Linked DNA regions of Caenorhabditis elegans. The protein of the gene in region 1 purifies or fractionates together with the protein of each later gene. This does not show direct contact. Each region holds a gene or a part of one and is shown on either strand. Other genes may lie near its edges.

Region 1 (7,389 bases):
AATATTGCTTAGAACAATTTTTCGTTGTGTTAAAGGTACTGGTAGATGTTTTCAAAATGTTCAGTAAACGTTTTGGCAGATTGCCAAATTAAAAAAAAAAACTTTTTGAAAAAGTCTTGCGTGTCAGATTTCCTGAAAAATTCTACGAACTACAAGAGTGTAAGTCTATTAATATATATACTTTTTTCCCAACTTTCCAATTGCAAAAAGCTGGTCACCATATTTCCTCTATTAGGGATCTAGTAGTATTGCAACTCTGCGAACTAAGAGAAAAGTTGCAATACTATAAATATTCCCAATATACTATTTTTTTCGCACAAGAGAAAATAGAAAAATGTGAGTTGATGAGTAGGAAAAATTGTTCTATCTGATTTTTGTCATTATTTCTTCGATATCTTCAATGTTTCAAGGACAACAAATTATAGCAATGAAATTATACAAATTAAAAATAAAATAGTAACGCAGGGGGTACGGTAAGTTCAGAAAATTAAAATATCGATGTTCATTTGGCAATGACAAAAACATGGCATAACATACCACACCCGGTCTATAAATAGATTGAGAATTCAAATGTTTCGTAATTTTGACCACAAAAAATAAATTCACAAGTGTTTTCAAAAAAACCGGGAGGGAGCAAGGAAGCCACGTCCGCATGATAGTCGACAAAAAGTGGGGGAAAAGGCCATAAAGATAAGCAATTGAGAGCAAGAGAAACGTGTACGCGGATGTGACGATCGAAAGGTAAAAAGTAGATCAGAACGGGTTAAAATCAGATATTATTTGGAGCAAAAAAGGACCAAAGAGTCAAAGGGTTTTATTCCCAAAACATTTCTGGGAGATTACAGATGCCTTAATGCTAAATACTACATCTAACATTGTGAAAATTTGTTTTGAAAAATACTAAAAGAGGAAAAAATTGCTATGATTCAAACTCTTCAATAAGATCAACTCAGCCTAATTGGAAATATACTACAATCATTTCTATGTTATTACAGTTGTTATATGATTTACCTTTCACCTCTCATAGAACTTCCATATATTGTTTAGCAGATGTAGTGATAATGATTCAGGTACTCTACAAAAAATTGGATACAAAAATGCCAATATATGGGCGTGGCTTCACAAAGAGCAGTTCAGAAATTCGTCTTCTATGATTCTCAAGAAAATTGCCAAAAGTATTCCTATTCCAGACTAAATAGATCTATTTGAAAAATTTTTATGAGAAGTGCAGTTAATACTTGTCAATAACTTGGAAGGATCTAAAATCAAAAATTTAATATAGGATGTACCGTTTTTATTTTTTAAAGTACTCGAAAATATATATCATTTTAATTTCACACCTCTCTAAAATAACAATTTTAAAAAATTAGAAAAATCATAAATAGGCTTCCCTAGTTACATATATATTCATAAACTAGAAAATGAATAATAATTCATTCTTATCAAAAACTGAAACTAGTCTCTGGAATCAATAAACCAATTCAAATCGTGCCATTGCGGCCGAAGAGCGCTAATAAATTAGCTTGTAAAACTTTGGCAGTGTCGTCAGTGCCTGTGATGATAAGAGAACCGTCCTCTAGCACATTACATGCAAAGTAGTACAATCTGTTAATTTATCAGTAGACACGTGGTGGTCGCCACAAAGCTGAAACTGATGTTCGATAAATGACTAAGCGTTTATTCAACTGACAAAAAATGACATATTTACAGTATCTGGATAAGACAAAATCTACACATTCAGAATTTATTGAATAGTTCTTCTAATTCCTGAATGGCTTTAACTGGTCTATCACAAACGAATCCTTTACACATGTACACTGCAGGTTTCGGTCCTTCAGCCATTGCCTTATGAGAAGGTCCCGATGCTGACAAATCTTCTTCTGATTGAATATGTACAACAGACAGGTTATTCAAGAACTTTTGATTCAGTCGGCTTCGAGTTTCGGACAAAAGTTCAGATTTCGGATCACCAACGAGAACAAATGTGGTAGATCCAATTTGCCATCGATGAAGTGCGACTGCCATTTTTGGTAGGGCGATTGGGACCCTAAAATTAAAAATGTTGCGAGCTCAAGCAAAAGTTGTTCGATATTACGTATTCAGTCGCTCTGAAGCTCCCCGGAAACACTGATTCGCCTTCTCACGATATTCCTCCTTTTCAAGAATGTCATAAAGCCTAAGAAGGTTGTTTGATGCGATTGAAGTGGCTGTGGGCTCTGCTCCATCTTGATCTGAAATTTAAGTGTTATGTGTACTAATCAAAATTAAAATAGTAACCTTCAATCATTCTCACAGAAACATCTTCATCGGTTTTCTCGCTGATGAAGTATCCATTTCCGTTCCAGAACTTTACATCACAAATTTTCTGAAGCTCAACGGCTTTCTTGAGATATTCATCTTTGCCAACTGTTGTATAGAGATCCAAAAGAGCTTGAATCAAAAACGCATAATCGTCAGAAAATGCTCTTATTTCTTGATTGCCTTGTTCAACTTCTCCATTAGCACCCAAATATACAGATCTTCTAAGCTCTCCATTATCGTCTAAAAATTTTCCGATGAATTCTGCACACTTTTCAGCTCGATCCAAATATTTTGTTTCTTCAGTAGCTTGATATGCTTTCACAAGTCCTGTGATTGCTAGTCCTTGCCACGAAGTAACCATTTTTGAATCAAGATGTGGGCTTGGTCTTTGTGTTCGAGCATTCCACAAAATTTCTTTTGCTTCATCGATTCCTTTCTTGAGTTCCGCAACAGATATTTCGTGATTCGTGGCACACTCCTCATCAGTCAGCAACTTTCTCAGGACATTTTTATTCTTCAGTTCACCATGGGGATCCGAAGATCGTGCAACATTTCCACTATCTTCAACATCGAAATAATCAGCAACTACATCGAAAAGTGAAGCTGATCCAATTTTCTTGTCTCCCAATAATTGTTTAATTTCTTCTTTCTCCCAAGCACAAAACGCTCCTTCAACTTTATTCGAAGAATTATGATTTGGCAAGGAATCAGCATCTTCTGCAGCATAGAATCCACCATCTTTATGACTGATCTTTTGCATGTATTGGTAGATGTCATTAATGACATGCTTTACATTATCATGTTTTCTTTCTGTCAATTTATGAAAATCTGAATATGTAGCCAATAGCTGAGATTGATCATACAACATTTTCTCAAAATGTGGAATATGCCATTCGGATCCGACAGAATATCGATGAAATCCATTTCCAATATGATCATGGATTCCTCCATCAGCCATTGATTCCAAAGTTTTTTGAAGCATCATGATACTGTCTTTGGCTTTTTCGGATTCATTCTCGCTTGCAGCAAAAGTGATTAGAAAATCTAAATCACAAGCTTTTGGAAATTTCGGAGCTCTGCCAAATCCTCCAAGTCTGCTGTCAAAAGATGATTGTTTGTGAGAATATATTGATTTGAACACTTCTTCGGATCTATTGACATCCCCAGAAGCAGTTTCAGGTTGAAGAAGTTTGATAATTTGGGCTCCGCGTTGTTTCAAACTCTCTCCTTCTTTTTTCCACTGAAAAATTTTAAAACTTTGGCTAATTTTTAAATGAAAAGATTTTGTGGCACCTACTTCAGTATGAATCATGTTGAGGATAGTTGGAAAGCCGAGCATTCCACGGTTGTCGTCTGGTGGAAAATAGGTTCCGCCAGTGATTGGATGAAGATCCGGTGTTAGGAAAACTGACATTGGCCATCCACCGTGTCCACTTGAAGCCTGAGATGGAGATATTGATTAAAACAATTTTAATTTTGTTTCATACCACGACAAAAGCCATATAGAGTTTATCAACGTCTGGTCGTTCTTCTCTGTCAACTTTGATAGCCACGAAGTTGTCGTTCAGGATTTTTGCTGTTGCCTCATTTTCAAATGATTCTTTTTCCATCACATGACACCAGTGACAAGTTGAATATCCAACTGAAATATTAAAGTTTGTTTGATAATATATTTTGATTATCTACCTGACAGGAAGATAGGTTTGTTATTATCTTTAGCCTTCTGGAATGCTTCTTGTCCCCACGGATACCAATCGATGGGATTGTTTGCATGCTGGAGGAGGTAAGGACTCTTTTCCTGTCCAAGACGATTTTTGTACGTTGAAGTCCTGATTTGTTTTGCTTTACAATTTTCATAATTGAATAAACTTACATTCGGATAACAGTTATTGGTGCAAGCGCTCTTAACATCAACACTGTCTCTGAATTGTTATCTTTTCTAAAATAAATTATCACTAACACGAGCTACCATGAAGTATCATAGAGTAACCAACATTTTTTCCAAATTTCTACTCAAGGTTAAATATTCTCAAACACATTGAATGGAGATCAAATTACTTCATAAAAAATATAAAATAAGTTATTCAGATAGTTAGGCGTCATCAAGAGGATTCTTCTCTGGAGGCGGTCCACACGGCTGAATCATGCGATTTATCAGATTGAAGCGGGTTCGAGCTCGGCTCTCGTTCTCCACAACGGCAATATACGTGTTCATTCCGGGATGAGACATTTGAAAGGCGCGAGTGTCGCGGTGCTGGAATATTATTTGTTTATTCAAACTTTCTATAGATTTTGGCAGTAGCCGTTTACCGTTTTAAAGAAATTTATGAGAAAAAGAGAGAAACAAACCTGATTCACAATCCATTCGTGACGGTTCATGTCGCATGGCCGTACCGGTGTATTTCGATTGAAGATGCTCCAATTGAGCAAGAACGTGGAATCGTTCTCCGGGAAGAGCCATTTTCTGGAAATCTACTAATATTTAACGAAGAAACCAATGTAACAGTGAATTTATATAAATAAAAAAGAGGGAACACATGAAACTTATAGATAAAAGATTATTTAAGAAGTCGTCGCTGTTTTTAAAAACGATAAAAAAAACAAGTGTCGTAAGAATGCGCGCACGAGGTGTAATCGGTGTTTGCGTACTTGTCCACCGTACTCCTATTCGAAAATGTTTTCTTGATCAAAATTGTTAAATTTATATTCAGAATTATTTCGTTTTCAAGATAAAATCATTATGAGCGACCACTTGGGAAGTTCTCATGACGAAGGTGAGCTGTCAGATGAAAGTCACAAGAAAAGTAAGTAGGTTTCACAAGTTTTGAGTGTAACTTATTATTTCTAGGTCAAAGAGCGTCGAGTTCCGATGAGCCAAATCCAGCCAAGTCGAACAAAGGTATATAAAGTGATTAAATTTGAAACTACTAATTATAAATTTCAGGTTTGGAATCAAAAATGCGTGAAAGCATATTAAGTCGTCTGAGCAAGCGGAAGAACAGTGAAAGCGATGATGATACCACAGAACAACGGTTTTCAATACAGCCTAAAAACGCTGTATGTTAATTTTTGTGTATTACTGTTTTAAAATTATTAATTCACAGCAAAAGGCAAAAGAGGACCGATATCGAGATAAAGAAAGAGATAAAAAACGGGAAAAGGACAAACGAGATGACAGAAGAGACGTGCGTGGACCAGATGCTCGACAAAAAGATCGTGATTTCAAAGGTAATCAGCAAATAGAATAAGAGGTACTTATTAATACTTTTAGGACGACAGGAAAGATCTGGAAGAGATCAGAAAGTACATGAACATAGACATCATCACCATCATAGAAAACACGAAACAGATGGGCACCGCACAAACAGAAGTAACAGAGATCGTTCGTCTGAAAGAGACTCAGAAAAACACAAAAGGCATATTGATCGTCATAAAAAGTAAGTTCGTTTCTTTCTGAAAAGAAATTAATAATTTTTGTTTGATTTTTTAGATCCAGCACAACTTCTCCTGATAATGACAAATCGCCACACAAAAAGTCAAAACATACAGATGTTCCAGCAGATGCAAAGCTCTTTGATAGAAGTATTTTAAACCACATACATTTTATAGTGATTTAATTTTGAAAATTTCAGTTCTCGACCCGAACTACAAAAAGAAAGATGACGATGTTCTCGTGATTGAAGATGTAGAAATGTCGCCAATTGAGATATTAGAAGAAAAGGAAGAGAAAGAAATTGTCGAATTCACTATAGACTCACCAGCTGGCCCCAAGAAATACTCAAAATTCGAAAGCGACCCAGAAAGTGATCATGACGATACTAAACCGAAGAGCCCTGGAAAAGCTGAAGACGGTAAAAATTTGCCCAGTATCAAAATTGAAACAATTAAGTTATACTTTTATTCATTTAAATCAATTATAGATGACGATGTCATAGAAGTATTGGATGATGCTCTACATTCGGATGATGATGCAGATAGCGATGAAGATAAATATTTAAAAACACCAGAAGATCGAGAATGGGAAGAAATGACTGAAACTGAACAAAGACTTCATAAAGAAGCAATGAAAAAACGTGCGTCAATGAAACAAAAAACATTGATCGCCCAGTTACCTGTTTTTTATCCCGGTCTCATGGGATGTAGAAATATTGATGAATATGAATGTGTGAATCGAGTTGATGAAGGAACATTTGGAGTTGTATATCGTGGAAAAGATAAACGAACGGATGAGATTGTCGCGTTAAAAAGACTGAAAATGGAGAAAGAGAAAGAAGGATTTCCAATCACTGCTCTTCGTGAAATCAATATGCTTCTAAAAGCTGGAAATCACCCGAATATTGTGAATGTTAAAGAAATTCTACTAGGAAGTAATATGGATAAGATCTACATGGCTATGGAGTTTGTTGAACATGACATGAAAAGTCTTTTAGACACAATGTCTCGTCGAAACAAACGATTTTCGATAGGTGAACAGAAAACACTTCTGCAGCAACTGCTATCTGGAATTGAACACATGCATAAACTTTGGATTCTGCATCGTGATCTCAAAACATCCAATTTATTGATGTCTCACAAGGGAATTCTGAAAATTGCCGATTTTGGACTTGCTCGTGAATATGGAGATCCACTGAAAAAGTTTACATCAATTGTTGTAACTCTCTGGTATCGATCACCGGAATTGCTTCTTGGTACACGTCTCTATTCAACTCCCGTTGATATGTGGTCTGTTGGATGTATTATGGCAGAGTTTATTCTCTTAAAACCATTGTTCCCGGGACGCGGTGAACTTGAACAAATTAAGAAAATTTTCATGGAAATGGGAACTCCCACGGAATCAATATGGCCTGGAGTCACTGAACTCGACGGTTGGAAGGCATTGACATTTGAGAAGTATCCATATAATCAATTGAGAAAGAGGTTCCTAGCTGGAAGACTTCTCAATGACACTGGTTTTAAGTTACTTAATGGGTAAGTTAATTGGTTTTTTTGCGAATATCAATATTTAATTGTTTTTTTTTCAGCCTACTCACTCTGGACCCAAAGAATCGATTCTCCGCTACACAAGCTCTTGATCACGAATGGTTCACG
Region 2 (9,444 bases), on another chromosome or scaffold:
AGCAAAATTCGTTTTACATTTTTGAAAGTGGAGGCATGATACTTCTGATGTACCCTTACTCAAAATATTTTTCTACATTAACTTCCAACATATAGCTAGGCTTACACTTTTGGCTGAATATATAAAAAATTCCTAAAGCCCACCTAACGAAATCAAAAAGCTTCCCGTATTTTCAGTGCCTTACGGGTTGAAAACGCTGTTTCTCTACGAAATCACTTTGTCTGGTATGAGTACAGTCTGGAAGAGCTCAATGATCATGATGAAGACGTCTACCGACATCATAAGCAAATGTTTGTAAGAAGCACCGGGAGTCAGTATAGCAAACAGCTCACAATTAAAGTAAGTTTTTTTTGTGTGTATTGATTTTAATTCTTTGAATTTTGTTTTTCAGCGCCAACGTTTAAACAACACATTGGATGACTGCTATTGTTGCATGTTAGATTTACCGCGTAGGTAAGCGGATGAATAACAAACCGAAACATGAAAATGTATAAAAAAATTGATTTCAGCATGTGCTCGATGATTACAAAAGAGGGAAACATAACTTCGGCAGTCGAAAGTCGGTGAACATATTGGAAGGGTCAAAAAAGAAAGATGGGTCATATGCTTTATGTATTAAATTTAATTGTTTTCTAGTTTTTCTTCTAAAAAAAGTTTCTCAATAAAATTTTATTCGATATCTTGAAATATGGTACGATATTTTCAAATAAAAATAATATTTTTCTCAGAACATTTGAATTTTCTACGTTTGTATGTACACTGCGCCCAACTTCTATAGCGCTCCCTTAACTTTTGAACTCTACCACATTCTGAATTTTTTATCAAAAAATGGTTAATGTCATTCGATTCCAAATGTCAAAAACCCCCTGTCCAAAATTTTTATGAAAATATATGGAAAACTACATAAATTAGGTGAAAAAATCATAAAAATGACCGCCTAACTTCAAGGCGTCCCCTCAAATTTTTGACATTTTTCGATAAAAACAATGAATTTAAAAATGAAACTGAACACAGTTTGCAATTTTGTAACGTCCAAAAGTGTTTTGACGTCTCATTTGGGTATTTTTAGACAAAATTTGGTACGTAGAAACGCGATAGGTGTTCTAGAGTGTCCTGAAACGCTCTGATTTTCGTTACAGACCAGTTGATGTACCATGTTGCAGATAACAATCAGGGCTGGGAATTTTTTGGTTTTTTTGTTTTTTGTATTCTGGTTTTTTTTTTGTATTTTGACGAAAAATCGATTTTTTTGGAACCAAAAAAACCAAATGGTCTCGCCACGCACCCCAAAAATCAATGAGTGGCGCGTTTCGAGACCATCGCACGTAAATGCGCCCCCCTTTAAAGCCGTAGAAGTAGAAAAAAATACACTGTATTTACTGGTAATAATCTTCTAGAATAAAATATGATAATTAAATAAAAGCTGATTTATGACCGCTGCAACACGGATATGTAGCCAATATTGAAGAATATATAAAAAATAAGCTTTTTCTTTTTTTTAAATCGTAATAATAAATATTTATATAACTATACAGCAACAAAAAAACAACCGATTACAATTTTGATCGAGCGTCTTTCATCATTGGACCAAGATACTTTTCGTAGGCCGGAAGAACTTCCGATCTGTTGAGTTGACTATTTTGAGCCCACTGGAGAAGAGCAGGGTACACGTTTCCGTCACGTCTTCCCAAAACTGATTTGAGCTCTTTATCGTCATAATCCCAACAGTCAACTAGGCCAACCGCATTTGGACGCATATTGGACAAGCATCTGAAAATAGACAATTATGAGCAATCACCACTTTCCAAGTTTTTTACTCACTTATAAATACCTTCTTTAACTTCATTCATCTGATTAGAGCTCATGTAGCCATCCTCCAAAAATGCTCCAATTGATGATGTAATGATGTCATAAGCATACAGCCGAGCAACATCGAAGAGCACAATCTTCAAATCCTGAGGAGCAATAGAAACTTTGTGCAATAAGTTCTTCACGAGATACAGACGAACGTGCCATCTCGAAGCTTTAGCAAGTTCCACAGAAACCGAGTTCCAAGCATCTTCCGGACGAAGATGCTCCTGAGCCTTTTTCAGGCGGTCGTAGGCTCGGAATACTTGTTTGCGAGCAACGTGCTCAAGATCTTCAACGATATCAGCATCTGTGTAGTGGTGGTGAGTTGTTAAGCGCGAGGTTTTCCTTCCAGGCTTTCCAATGTAAGCTCCGATGTCTGCTAGGTTAGCAGTTCCTTTTCTAACTCCTTCGGCTGCTTTCATCAGGAATCTGAAAGATAAGTCTTTGTTAAATATCAGTGATCAGAACTTGTTCTTTATCTCACCTTGCTACTTGCAGAAGCATCACAATATTTTCACCCTCGTAAGTGCATCCACCAACAGCATATCCATAGATTTCTGGGAATCCAGAAGCTTGTGAATACCCATGACCTCCACACGCCAATCTGCATTGCTCAATTCCTTGAGCAGTATCCCACGACACTAACGACTTGAGACCGGAAGACAAGACATGAAGCTCGGCGAGAAGTTCGGTGTTTCCATGTGTAAGCTGCTCGGTGACTGTCATGTAGAGATCACGGATTTCAGTGGCCGCTGCCATGAAAGCAAACGCTCTGGCGAGTTGAGGGAAGACACGAAATTGTTGGGTTTGGTAGTCAATGATTTGAACTTCCCCTTTTCTGAATATATAATGTGAGACAGGATTTTAAGAACTTTTTTTTAACTTTTGAACAATTTAAAGGTGAAGTAGCGCCAGTGGAGAAATAGTTTTAAAAAAATACTCTGTTGGTCTCAAAATGGCCAAATATTATGATAAAACTTTTCAAAAAATTTTCGAAAAATTTTTATTTACTGTCAAAAAATGGCAATTACTCAGATTTTGCCACTCATAATTTTGGAAGTCGACCAAAAAAACATTTTTTTTTCGACATTATTTATGATTTAATTTTGTTCAAATTATTTGTATTAAAACACTGTAGAGGTCGGAACATGCGACATTTCTTCAAATTTTCTCAAAAGCTAGTATTTTTCAAAATTTTGGCAATTTGCCAAAACTTTGACCGGAAATTATGAAAAATCTAAAATTTTTTAAAGCGTTTTATTATGATATTCTTGTTGTTTTGAATCATTATAAGTGCATTTAGACAAAATCGCCACTGGCGCTACTCCACCTTTAAAGTACACATTTCTCATACGTAAAGGAGGACTAACGGTTCGGACGATTTTGAACGTATAGACCCAAAATGAGCTCAAATAAACGAATTTCGTAATGAAACTGCTCAAAAGGTTTTCAAAAATTTTTTGTGGCGGTTCAAAATTTTGAAAAAATTACACAGATTTTGGCTAAAATCGCGAATTTTCCCATTTTTCCGTGTCACATCTGTTCGAAGTTAGCTTTTTTGGAATTATCGTCCTTTATTACACATATTGGTAGTTTATCTTATTTAATTTCGTCGATTAAGGCACATTTAAAGCCGATAGGTAACCAATTTCGATGATTTTTGGTCACCTATCGGCTTTAAATGTACCTTAATCGACGAAATTAAATGAGATAAACCACCAATATATGTAATAAAGGACGATAATTCCAAAAAATCCAACTTCGAAATGATGTGACACAGAAAAATGGGAAAAATTTGCGATTTTAGCCAAAATCAGTGTAATTTTTTCAAAATTTTGAACCGCCATAAAAATTTTTTGAAACTTTTTTGAGCAGTTTCATTACGAAATTCGTTCATTCGAGCTCATTTTGGGTCTATACGTTCAAAATCGTCGGAACCGTTAGTCCTCCTTTAAGCCAGATTAACCCTTACTTACCCTGGAGTGATTTCTCCCTGTCTTCTCACTGCTGCATATCTCGTAGCAATTGTTGCAGCTGCCGCAAGTTGAGTCGACTGATCCTTGATCATAATTGATCTCACAAACACCATAGTTCCATATCCCAATTTGGAATGAGCCGGAGCAATGTAAGTTCCATCTGGATTCACTTTTGCGTATCTCATCAGCAATGCTTTTCTTGGAATTCTGACTTTATCGAAAAGTAAGAATCCATTGTCATTTCCATTGATGCCAAGTTTTGGTCCAATATCTCCCAAACGAATTCCCTTGAGTGGATAGTGAGTGTCTTCATCGCGAAGTTGCACAATGAACGGATGAGGTCCTTTACACTCTCCTTTTGTGTACAACTGTGCAACAACCACAGCGTAGTTCGACGATTTACCCAAGCCTCCCGGCCACCATCTTAATTAAGACCATCACATTTCTTATCACATTTTGAATACTTACTTGGCTGCAGTGATTGTTGGCGAGTTCATAACAAACTCTTCTGTGGCTGGATCATAAGTTGCAGTGGTTTCCAGTTTTGAAAGGTTTGTACCATGACCGAGTTCTGTTTGAGCATAAGTTCCAACTACTGCACGGGAAATTGCTTTGGTAAGCCACTCGTCCAGTTGATCATCGTCAGTTTGACCTGAGAAAGTTTTATTTGATAAATTTGGATTTTAACGTGGATTTCTGATTTACATCATAAATGCAAGTAGGGGTCTTTATAGCGATGCGCGGAACCCAAAAAGTGTCGGACGCGGAGCCAAGTCTCCACCAAATGGTGACATACCCTATCGCACTATTTTGTGAAAACGTGGCTCCGCGTCCGACACTTTTTAGGTTCCGCGCACCGCTATAAAAATTTTGGAGCGCACCGTGAGAGAGTTGTTTTCGGGGTCGACATGGGAGCCCCGTGCAAGTGTTAAATTGAATATGAACTATTAAAGGTGGAGTAGCGCCACTGGGGATTTTGCCAAATTACACCTATTTGGCAAGTTGCCAAAATTTTGAAACATATGAGTTTTTGAGGAATTTCAAAGCAATGTCGCATGTCCCGACCCCTACAACGTTTTAATACTAATAGTTAAAACAAAATTACAGTATAAAAAATGAAGAAAAAAACTTTTTTTTTTGGTCGACTTCCAAAATTATGAGTGGCAGAAACTGAGTAATTGTCACTTTTTGACATTAAATAAAAAATTGTCAAAAAAGTTTTGTAAGAGTTTTATTATTATATTTGGTCATTTTGAGACAATTGGAGTGGTTTTTAAGATTTCCCCCACTGGTGCTACTCCACCTTTAAGATTTTTTTTTCACTACAGTTGCATTTGAAATGTAAAGTTTGATCAAAAGTTTTAAGATTTAAAACTACTCAAGATCAAAAGCTGCAACTGCCAATAATGCGTGATTTTTTGAGTTAATTGAATTTAACTTTGAACATTTTTCAAAAGTCTCTTTTTGAAAATTTTATATTGGAACAACTTCTAATGTTCCGAAGAAAACATTTTCAGGTTTCTACTTCTCTAAAAATAGTACCTTGAAGTGTTGGAATAAACATAACGTAATGAAGCGACATTGCATGAAGATCACGGCCCATCGTCAATCTTAAATTATTTTCAGTTAATATGTTTTTACCAAATTCCCAAAAAAAAACTGACGCTTGATAATACATTCCTTCTCCGAAGAAGTCAGATCCATCAATCTGATCGGTGTTATTTGTCATTGCCACAACTTTACGAGCATTGTTCAGAATGCGTTCTTCGCGAGACATAAACTCTGTTGGAACCGGATCTTTGAAGTCGTCAACGCTTTTGACAAAATCCAGAATTTCACGGCGACGCTGAACATTAAGAATTTTTTTCCAAATAACTAACTGTTTTTGGAAGCTCCGTTATTTATTTTGGCATAATTTTTGAATTAAGATTGGAAAATCATCCATAAAAGTTAATAATATAAATTTTCGAATTAATATTTACCTTTTTCTAGCAAATGCAGACTAAAGCTTACCTTCATAACTTCAGTCCCTCCATGTATCCAAGCTGACATACGTTCTGTGTCAAACGTAGCTTTTTTCCGTTCATTGGTAATGTCTACATTATCGCCTGGCTGAATCCATCGACTCATTTCAAAAATTTCAGTGAGTTCCTAAAAAGAGGTAAGTTGATAGAAATACATATGTACAAAATTTTTTCTTTGAAAAATTAGAAGAAAAAAAAAACAACAAAAAAATCAAAGTTTTTTAGCAGAGCAACACAACTTGCTTAAAAAGTACTAATAAATAGACTGGCTACATGGGACACTACGTGCTAACAACGGGAAAAATGATAACAAGGAACTTTATTGATAACGTTGGTTTAAAACTATACTACGGTTCCAATATAATAGAAACACTTTTGAAGAAATTGCTTCAAACTGTAGTATACTTTGATTAAATAGACTGTCTTTAAAAAAAAAACTTTTTATATGACTTATAGGAAAATCTATAAAAAACAGAGATACACGAAAATAGAAAAAAACACGTAAGAAAAAACGTGCAAATAAGTGTTTATGAAATGAACGCAACGACAACAGTGTAGTCGTTAGGCATTCCTGTTATCTCGGAGAGTCAATTGAAAACATGGAGACGTAGACGCGAAGACTGATTAAACTGGATTAATTTGTTTATAAGAATATTGATTATACAAAAAAGGGAGAGAGTTTTGATAATTTCTTAAAAATACGCTTGGTGCAAAAAATTGACAAAAATAACCGCACAATTGATTATGAGATTAAAGGTGGAGTAGCGCCAGTGGGGAAAATGCTTTAAAACATGCCTATGGTGCCACAATGACCAAACCTCATAGTAAAAATTTTTTAAAAAAATTTCTAAATTTTATATGATTTTTTGAAAATTGAAAAAATCTCGAATTGCATCAAATTCCTAATTGAATTACCGCCAATAGTTCGATGTTTGATGGTGCGCGCTTGCATTATTTTAACTTTTATTTATCAATTTTTCTTAGTTTTGATTGATTTTTCATGTTTTTTGTGTAATTTTACTAGAAATTTAATGAAAAATTCAAGATAAATGTAGATTGTTCACTAAAAATAATTGAAAAAAAAAGAAATAACGTTTTCCAACGACGTTGAGCCTGAAATATTCTATTTCACAGATTTAGGCTTCAGCGCCCGCTTTTTAATAACAAATTTACATTTCTCTTGAATTTTCCATTAAATTTCCAGTAAAATTACTCAAAAAAAAACATGAAAAATCAATCAAAAATAAAAAAAATTGATAAATAAAAGTTAGAATAATACAAACGCGCTCCATCGAACATCGAATTATTGGCGGTAATTCAAATAGGAAGTTGATGCAATTCGAGATTTTTTCAATGTTCAAAAAATCATATGAAATTTAGAAATTTTTTTACAATGATATTTGGTCATTGTGGTACCATATACATGTCTTAAAGCATTTTCCCCACTGGCGCTACTCCAACTTTAAATTTATCGGTTTCATTTTTTCTTTGGAACAAAATTTCCTGGTCGCATATTTAACTGGGTAAGTTGAGATTGAGCTATGTAGTTTGACAAAAAAAAAACAGATTTGAATAGATAGTTTCTGATAAAAAAATTTGTGAGTGCAAGATAAACACCGCATCTTGAAAGTTAAATAAAAACATGATACAAAATGTTCTTCCGTTCTTGAGAATTATTCCCCCACACTTGTAAAATTTAAGTTTTTAGATATCAAACATGGCATTTATTTGGGATTTTTGTTTTCGGAATCCATTTTTTCTATATTATATTTTCTCGTTTTGAATAAATGGAAACTGAAACAATTAATAATTCAATTGAAACGTGGTTTCTTAACACAAATGTATTTGTTTGTTCAATCAGGAATTTAACAAGGAGTCTAACAATTTTCTGGCAATTTATAAAAATTAATTAGAAAAATTTAAGTTGGCAAATTGAAGAAAAATTTCTTTTCAAAGCCTTAAGGTACTATAAAACTTTCACTCCAAATTTTTGCTCACTTACTATAATTCGTCACTGTAATTGAAGAAATTCCAGATTGCAAAGTTTAACTGTCGGAAAACAATTAATTAGAAATATATAATAATGTCAGTTCTCGGAAATATCAAAAAAACTTAACTTTAATTTTCTTGTATTAAAACAAATTTTGTAATATTTCTTGCTCAATTTTGCTGTTGACTTAAATGTTATATGTAATGTGATGTGTTTGGATCTTTTTTAAAAATATTTTTCCAAAAGCTTCTGTTTTTTAAATAAAAATGAGTCAACTCTTTGAAAAATTATGACTTTCAGAAAGTCAAAAATCTTGCAACACCAGTTTTCCTACCAAAAAATTTATTTTTATGCATGTTAATTTTATTAGCAACATTATTTTTTGTTTTTTTTTTGGAACAGGTATGAAGGACAATTTGGATGTGTGTTTGGAAAATTTTCACATTATAATATTTTCCAAATTAAACACTTTTTCTTAATTTAAAAATTAGATAACATTTTCCAGAACCTTTTATATGTATTACTTATGAGCTGTCAGTTCTGAATTGTTTTTTTCAAAGTTTTTTCAGAATTAATCGGCACTTTTTTTCAATATCCTGTAAATTTATTGTACTCATTTTTCAAAACTGTTCTTTTTTTCGATGTGGAAAGAGATTTTAGCAAAACAGCCCGTTTGCTCCACTCACTTCCTGGTCAGTCAAATTCCCAAAAAAAACACTATACAAATTGACTATCCAATAGTCTCTATAAACCAAATCTGTCTGTGTCTCTTCACTCTTCCCCCCACCTCCTCCTCCTCTCCCATCCTATCGGAAAGTGGTGCGTCTTCACTTGTTGCGTGTTTGCAGTCTGCAACACGACGCACCATGACGTCGTTTACCGTACCCCCATGCGTCGTTGCGGGCGTGCTGCGTCGGTCGGTTCCACAGCTGCACTGCCTCGCGTGGCGGCCTCGTCTACGTTCGGCCTACATTCATTCGTAATTCCTCGCCCTTCTCCGCACATTTGGGTCACTCAGCTCTTTTCTCTTTTTCCCTATCTGTTCGCCCTCTCTTGATATTCAGCAATTTGTTATTCATTCTTTTATTTTGTTTCTCAAACCGAACTAATTACTATCGTTTTTTTTTTGATAGTTCCAATTAAAAATATATCAATTTTTCAGAACCTAAATCTTCCACAAGTCTCTCAACATGGCCCCAAAGCAACGTATGACACTTGCTAACAAGCAATTCTCCAAGAACGTGAACAACCGCGGAAATGTTGCCAAGAGCTTGAAGCCAGCCGAGGACAAGTACCCAGCCGCCCCATGGCTCATCGGACTTTTCGTCTTTGTCGTCTGCGGATCCGGTAAGTAGTTTTTTTGGTTTTTTTTTCAATTGGTGAGGTCTTTCATGTAACATAATGTAGGTAGCTCTGTGAAAAAAAATTTATAAGTTCAAAAAAAATCCTTCAAAAAATAATTTTAGTAGATACCCGTAAACTTAGTCAACTTTTGACATTTTTCATTGACCTGGTTTACCAAGTTTACCAAGGCAGGATTTAGGCACATTTTTGGCATCAATTTTCGCCTATTGCCTTCGCCTAGCTTATCGATAGATTTTAA
Region 3 (7,189 bases), on another chromosome or scaffold:
TACTGTTACGAGTTCATCAGCAATTTCAGTAGCTGTTATAAGTTCAGTTGTCGGCTCTTCAGTTGTTGCTCTAGTAGGTTCTTCTGTGGTAGTTGTGATAACAACTGGAACGGCTTCATAGAGTCGTCTAGGTGGTTGTAGTTCAAAACGTCGAAGTTTGGTCCGTGGGCATTCTTCCGGTAGAACACACAATTTGAGAGAATTCCGAACAAATCCATTTCGACAAGTGCATCCAGGCTCACATTTAGAGCAATACTGGAATTTTTTGAATTATACCGATAATAGTACTATTGGAAACTTTGCCTGTTATTTACGATTGGATTTGAGAAAAAAGGTTCTTACCGGGTCTGGATTGTTGCAGGTTGATTCACAGGCACAATGAGAAAATGATTGGAACATAGGGCAGTTTTCTGAAACCTTTCAATTGTATTTAAATTCCCATTCAAATTACATACCTTCTCCATTTATTCTAGTGGTATCATTCATACGTAGTCTTTGAATAATCAAAGATAACCTTTGTTTATTGACTTTTGGAGTTTTCAATGTTCGAAAAGCTTTATGCCGGAACTCATGAGATACTTGAGAAAATGTGGATAACACAAGTAGAAAAGGTAATAAAATGGAGAGAGTATGCATCTGCAAATGAGAATGTAGGTGAATGTAATGAATGAGAGATGGAAATGGAACAGTTCAGACAAATGGAATGGCAAGGTGCGAATATGAATCGGAAAGGAATACGATATTATTAATTTGATGATGATGGGCAATTCCGATAAAAGCTATAAAAATCTAGAGGAACGGCCTTCAAACATTCAAACATGGCTTCACTCTACAGAAGTAGCCACTGTTTCAGTCCGTCTTTAATAGTCTCGAGGAAATTCAGATCTCGAAAAATAGTACAGTAAGGTGAGACCTGCATCTAGATATTATTACAAGGTTTTGTATGTCTCAGTAGACAAAAAAAAGAGAGAAGAAACAGTGAAACAATGTTCAGAGACGCAGACGGAAGCCGTTTGTGGAACCGAACTGAAGAAGAAAGTGAGTGAAAAACGTGACGAACGAGACGGGCTGGGGATTCGGACAAAAGGTGGTCATCTGTACAGAACTAATTGATATGGAAACAATCACAGAACACAGAGGAACATGGTGATGTAATGGAATTTGATAAGGATTGAGGGGAAAAGCTGATGAAAAGGGCGTAAAATCGAATAAAAAGGAGAATGGAAAGCGAGGGAAAAACTAGGAAGGACGAAAGAAATGAGGTGAAACGGGGGATGAAAATTCGTTGTTTATGTGGGTCAGTTTTGGAAAAAAAACAATATGCTTAAAATCAATTTCATATATAATTTGAAAAATAATAAGAACAAACTATATAGTGAGATATGTGACATTCTGAAATTTGGAATCTCGTATTAATCTTTGCCAGTGCCTGTGAGATTGTTGTTTTACAAATCACACATGCTGAAAACAGATTAATAAATAAACAATTTCCACCGGAAATCCCTACCTTGCAATACCAATGTTAACTTCATAACCGACAACAACCCTTGCTGTATCGAAACTATTAAATGAAGCAAACTCCGGTTTGAAGGTGAACATCTTTTTCAGCAAAAGGGTTTTCTGGAAAAAAAAACAAATTAGTTGCAACAAAAAAAGATAAAATTAATTGAACTTACCTTACCCCTTGAACTGATAATATTCACAAATCCGGTCAATTCTACGCCACGTACTTCCTTACTTCTGAACAACAGTTTATCTAATTGTAGAGAAATACAAATAAAATAACGCACGTTCCAATTGAGTATTCATAAAAAATTTTATAATCTTCAAGTTCAAACGAACGAACACATTTGTGTGTTTTCACTTCTTGTGTAAATCTTGTTCGCAATGTTTGAAGGAAGTTTTTTTCGCCTTTTTCAGGATACCCAGAGGATGTACTCTAAACATTGAAAGTATAATTATATTTTTCTCCGACTTTCAAAGAAATTACCATATTCATGCATAAACATATATTTTCTGATATTCCTTCAGACGTACAGTTCCTTGATGTTGGTTGAGCTATGAAGACAGATTTTGAAGATTTTTCTTTCGGATTGATTAATTCAACAAGCATTTGATTGAAATTAGTAGAAGACAATAACCTAAACTCAGATATTCTTTTTAAATATAATTTTTAGACCTAACCTGTTGAAATTCATATTCATGAAATATAGTTTCTGATTATTATTTTCTATGAATTGGTTGGATGGACGAAAAGCAAACATTGGATATTTGTCGTTTTCGTTTTCAATATCTCTGCAAATTGTTCAAATTAACATGTAATGTAAATAAGAATCTCACTTTGTTGATAAGTCGTACGAAGTGATGATTAGTGTAGTGTTCTCGAAAATGTTTGATTCCTTTAATAGATCCAACATTTTTCTGAAAAAAGGTCCGTTTTTTTCCTCAAAAACTTTTATAATACTTCAAATCTTGATCAATTGATTGTCTACGATATTCATCATATTCATCAATAAACATTGCTGAAAACACCTTGGAATCTGCTGTTGATGTCAGAAATGCTCCGATTTTTTCCAATTGATCATTTACTAATTTCTAGAAAAATTGTGATATAAACTTTTTTTGAAATATAAAACTTACTTTTCCATTTTTCAAACATAAGTTTCCATCAATTAAGAATTGTGTTATGAAATTCTGATGATCCAAAGTATCATAATCTACATCAATCATATATCTGATTTGTTGTGGACCAGAGAAAAAAGTTGTAAAATTATTTTGCTTTGCTTTTCTGAACATATTAATTTTATTTGAAATTCCAAGTTGTAGTAACAAATCTTGCATTGAATTTGGTTCATTCTGAATATTAGCGATATTGATAATTACAAAATCGAGTAACATCTTACTTTGCTCATAAATTGTGCAAATCTGAACTGGTTGTCTTGCATGAAATGCTTACTCAACGGCATTTTCTTCATAAATAGTTTGTGATTTATTGCTGGAAGAAATATTATGGCAATTGATCCCCCGTTTGATTTCTAAAATGGTGTTGAATTTTAGATTCTATTGTTAACTCATCTTACTTTTGGAATTGATGCAAAATTCACAAAGGGTTTCAGAAATTCAACAATACCGTTTCTTTCGCAAGCAAAAGCAAAATTGTAGAATGGAACTTTAACGGGCACATTTTTTTCAACCTGATGTTTATGATTATTAAAGATTTAATTTTAACTTTCATACCTTAATTGGGTGCTCATTTGGCCCACTATTTTTGTAAAAGGTGCATCTGAAGTTATATGTTGAGTTATTGACTTATTGAAGACAAAAAATTAAATAGTTCAAACCTTATATCAGAGGGTAAATCATTTGTATTTTTTGATCGAAGTGTCAAATATCCGTCAGATGATAAGTCAACCTTTTCATTCAGTTCATTTATTTTGCATTCGCCTCTTGAAATGTTATTCATTGGATTTTCTGCATAATTCAATTTTCCTCACCTCACAATATGTTGTTTCGATTTGTCCGGTGTAAGTCCAAAAACGTCCTCATCTTCATTCGGAAAGAAAATATATGGAAGTTTACAAACATTGGTCAGTAATTCTCTGGTTTCTGAAAATCAGACTGCAGGAAAATTAATCAAAAACATCACATACCTACCAAGGAATAAACAAACTCTGGTTTATACTTGATTCCACCATCCTTATCAAATTCTTTAATCTCGATTGAAAAATGACTCATTATCACCGAAAATATTAAAAGAAAAAAGCAAAGAAACATTAAAATCATGCTACTTGGAAGAATACTTTGGTGTTTTCTTAGATTGAACGACATTGTTAAATGGCTTTTGTGGTGTGAATGAACAAATGAATGTACATAAGAGACGGGGATGCTTAATGCCGGAACCAGTTCATGTAACAAATGAATACCAGATATGGTCAGTTGATTATATGTTACAACTTGGTATTTATAAAGAGGAAAGTTGTTAAAAATATATAATTTTGACGTGAAAAGTGCATCGAAACTGTCTTTTGGATAACCATCAGTCACGGGCTTTCACCATCTTTCATCGGAAATAGTTCAATCTTTCAGCCGCTCACACTGCGAAAAAAGTAGAAATTGTTTGCGTTTATCAATTTTAATATACTTTTATGTATCTGTTTTTTAATAGGAGCACGTTTTTTTATCTTGAAGAGATTTTGAAAACTTATAAATTTAACTGTACATTTTATTTATTCAAATCAATATGCAAGAAAAGGAAAGACATTGGCACCGGGCAATACTTATAAATTTTCTTCATTCATTCATCATCAATATTTTCCATGGTGTATGGAGCAATCCATGGATGAGCCATTATTTGGGATGCAAGTGGTCGGCGTTCTTCAGTTTTATTCATCAAGCGAGATACCAAATCTTTAGCCTCTGAAAATTTGCTCCTTTTTCTATGAATAATTTTTTTTCTAGAGATTCAGTTTCAGTCAACTCACTCAATGAAATTCCTTTCCATTCTGGCATATCCAGATTTGGTTTAGCTTGCATTATAAGTTTGAATAATCTGGTTTGATCTGGTGCACGGAATGGAGCATATCCAACAAGCATAACATAAAGAACAACTCCAAGGGACCAAATATCACATCTTGTCGAATATCCGGTCTCCCGAAGAACTTCTGGTGCGCAATAGGTTGGGGTTCCACAGATACGGTACAGAGGTCCAAGAATGTGACATGCCAATCCAAAATCGCAAAGCTTCACACTAAATTTGTCAACGAGAAGAAGATTTTCAGGTTTGACATCTCTGTGAACCACATTTCTTTCGTGAAGATAATTGAGTGCAGATGCAACTTGGAGAGTTATGATAGCAGCATCTGGTTCCTCGATTCGACCATTTTTACGGATAGTTTCATATAAGTCCCCGTACTGAAAAAATCTTTTTTTTTCAAACTGTGTTGTCAAGTTTTGCACGTTATTGTTCAAAACTGGGAGTATCATTCACCTGTGCATGTTCGAAAACTATGAAGTATTGATTTTCAGTGCTAAAAGCATCGATAATCGATATGATGTGATCATGTTGAATGAGTGACAACATCTCCACCTCATTGTCCACAAAAAAGCATTTCCCTCGCATTGCTCTTTTCTCAACTTGCTGAAAAAACTTTGAAGGAAATGAAAATTGCAATGTTGACTGGTACCGAACCTTAAGCGCACATTTGGTGCCATCTTCCTTGCGTCGAGTTAAATGCACACTCGAGAAATTTCCTTTGCCAATAATAGCCCCAATCTCGTATTGCTTTTCAATGTCTTGACGCCCGTCAACACGTTGGATCCATTTGGAAACCTAAATAAAGAAATGAAAGTTGAATGAAGAAAGTGAGACGCTGAAAGATTCCATTAGTGACATGATCTGTTGCCTAACTATCCGGAATGTAGTATTTCCCTCATCCCAATTTCTTATGCATATTCTAACCTAAACCCAGAAGCGGTTTGTCCCTTGAACATACTACAAGTTATTGTTATGACGGATGTGCCGAGAAGGAAAATGGAACAAGGCCTTTGCGTTCAAAAAACATTTTCCAGAAGTGTTCGTTTGCTAAAAGTAAAATATTTGTTAAATAGGTCGCTAAAGTCAATGAGGTGGAACATTTCTTTCGTAGATCTTTGGCAGTAATTGCAGAAAGTAGACATGTTTTATTTGGGTATTACGTAAATTTTGAACTTTTAAAAACTTTTGACACAACGTATCAACAAAAGATCGGGACAGACAAGCATGCTTACTGAAGTGAAAAATCGGCCAAACGTTGGAAGTTTATTGGGAGCATGAGGTAAATATTTCGAAGTTTGAAGGTTACTTTGTTGTTCTTGTCAATTTTGTAAAAATTGGTGAATTCTTTCAATTTAAATGCTTTTTTGTATGGACCCTCATAGATAACAGTTCTTTTAACTGGCAAAGTACGGGAAATTCAAAATTTTATCAGTAAAAATTTTAATTTCAAAGCCACGATTGCGAGGCTTCCAAGGATCAAAAAGAAATATGGACAAGGGGAATACCCTCAATTGCCGAACTGCAACCGATACTATGAATGAACTGAAGAAACTGAAGAAACATGTTCAAACCTATAATCACAATCAAATTCTGATCGTTGATTCACTTAGCTTTCAAAACATTCTCAACCCTAGACATTTTGTTCGATGAGTCAACATCCCATAAACATATACAAAAAATACCTATTGGGACCATTTCCGGTGACTCTCTTATTCTTTCTTCGTTCCCATTTCCGTACTAGTCCCCGTACCAAGCATATGATGCAATAACAGAAACATCTGGAGACTCACAACTTGCTCAAAAAAGTAATAAGTAAAAGTAAAAAGAAAAATGAAAAAAAAAACGAGTGGACGGAAATGGAATGGACATTCAGAAAGTGCACATATATACGAAAAGTGTATAGTTGTACTTATCCCCCATTATTAATGTTGAAAAAAAACAAGATTGGCTCAGGTTCATGTTCTGACTCACTCCAAAAAATCCTTCATTGACGTGACGAGATGATGTATGAACCATTCTAGGTTGTTTTTCAACTTCACGAGATGCATAATTATTGTTTCTATCAAGAGAAACACCTGTAAAGATTGCAAAGGGGTATAATTTTGATTATATGAAAAATGAAAGAAAAACGAAAGCAAACCTTTTCGATTTCTCCTGTCGTATAGAACGGTTACGGAACTCGAACGGGCTCTCATTGTTTTCAATTAGTTATTATTTGGAGGAAGAGATTGAGCTGAAAAACAAGTGCTGTGCAAAACAAAGAAGATTATACAAATGTCTTTAATAATCATAAGAATAATAATGATTATTATAGTAATCAAGAAGGGAGTACTCTCGAAAACGTAATGTGATTTGGGAGAAAAACAAAAATAAGTATAGTGAAAAGACGATGGGACTATAGTTGGGACCAAAGACTCGAATTCGTAAGAAGGTTCAGAACACAAGAAAGGGCAGCATGAATTTCAAAATATTTTGAAAAAGGAAATGACAAGAAAGCAAGAAATAATCGAAGAGTGCGGAAGGTGCGGAGAGTCGCCGCGCGGAGTTACCCGGGGTTACGAAGAGTGGACATTGGGCACCCTCTTTTTGGAAAATGAAGACGGGAGGGACAAAATGGGTGGAGACGAGAGGTGACCACCACCCAAAAAGAGTGAG

What was found. Proteins that work in one complex are often made in the same cells at the same time.
Region 2: the proteins of B0495.5 (region 1) and acox-1.6 fractionate together in Caenorhabditis elegans (co-fractionation; one large-scale study listed by BioGRID). This does not show direct contact.
Region 3: the proteins of B0495.5 (region 1) and F32D8.2 fractionate together in Caenorhabditis elegans (co-fractionation; one large-scale study listed by BioGRID). This does not show direct contact.

Annotation. Positions count from the first base shown.
Region 1 is NC_003280.10:7,694,272-7,701,660, forward strand, and holds B0495.5 (thioredoxin domain-containing protein), read right to left. Parts: upstream 4,224-7,389; 5' UTR 4,213-4,223; coding exon 4,175-4,212; intron 4,131-4,174; coding exon 3,988-4,130; intron 3,944-3,987; coding exon 3,789-3,943; intron 3,743-3,788; coding exon 3,599-3,742; intron 3,542-3,598; coding exon 2,278-3,541; intron 2,232-2,277; coding exon 2,096-2,231; intron 2,048-2,095; coding exon 1,738-2,047; 3' UTR 1,664-1,737; downstream 1-1,663. Other genes in the region: Protein moa-2, read right to left, coding at 4,404-4,555, 4,651-4,762; cdk-11.1 (Cyclin-dependent kinase 11.1), read left to right, coding at 5,042-5,105, 5,150-5,200, 5,246-5,358, 5,406-5,529, 5,573-5,738, 5,792-5,883, 5,934-6,152, 6,222-7,269 and 1 more.
Region 2 is NC_003284.9:15,832,569-15,842,012, forward strand, and holds acox-1.6 (Acyl-coenzyme A oxidase), read right to left. Parts: upstream 5,979-9,444; 5' UTR 5,958-5,978; coding exon 5,841-5,957; intron 5,674-5,840; coding exon 5,492-5,673; intron 5,438-5,491; coding exon 5,370-5,437; intron 4,480-5,369; coding exon 4,296-4,479; intron 4,251-4,295; coding exon 3,828-4,250; intron 2,690-3,827; coding exon 2,336-2,689; intron 2,281-2,335; coding exon 1,822-2,280; intron 1,771-1,821; coding exon 1,554-1,770; 3' UTR 1,504-1,553; downstream 1-1,503. Other genes in the region: serp-1.1 (Stress-associated endoplasmic reticulum protein 2), read left to right, coding at 9,032-9,188.
Region 3 is NC_003283.11:10,880,417-10,887,605, reverse strand, and holds F32D8.2 (ATPase_AAA_core domain-containing protein), read right to left. Parts: upstream 3,829-7,189; coding exon 3,651-3,828; intron 3,607-3,650; coding exon 3,495-3,606; intron 3,447-3,494; coding exon 3,342-3,446; intron 3,284-3,341; coding exon 3,238-3,283; intron 3,195-3,237; coding exon 3,081-3,194; intron 3,036-3,080; coding exon 2,904-3,035; intron 2,857-2,903; coding exon 2,641-2,856; intron 2,596-2,640; coding exon 2,465-2,595; intron 2,422-2,464; coding exon 2,341-2,421; intron 2,296-2,340; coding exon 2,185-2,295; intron 2,142-2,184; coding exon 1,991-2,141; intron 1,940-1,990; coding exon 1,791-1,939; intron 1,741-1,790; coding exon 1,677-1,740; intron 1,621-1,676; coding exon 1,504-1,620; downstream 1-1,503. Other genes in the region: F32D8.3 (TIL domain-containing protein), read right to left, coding at 1-255, 343-410, 456-636; cat-6 (Protein kinase domain-containing protein), read right to left, coding at 4,295-4,416, 4,482-4,911, 4,988-5,137, 5,189-5,329, 6,506-6,609, 6,675-6,729.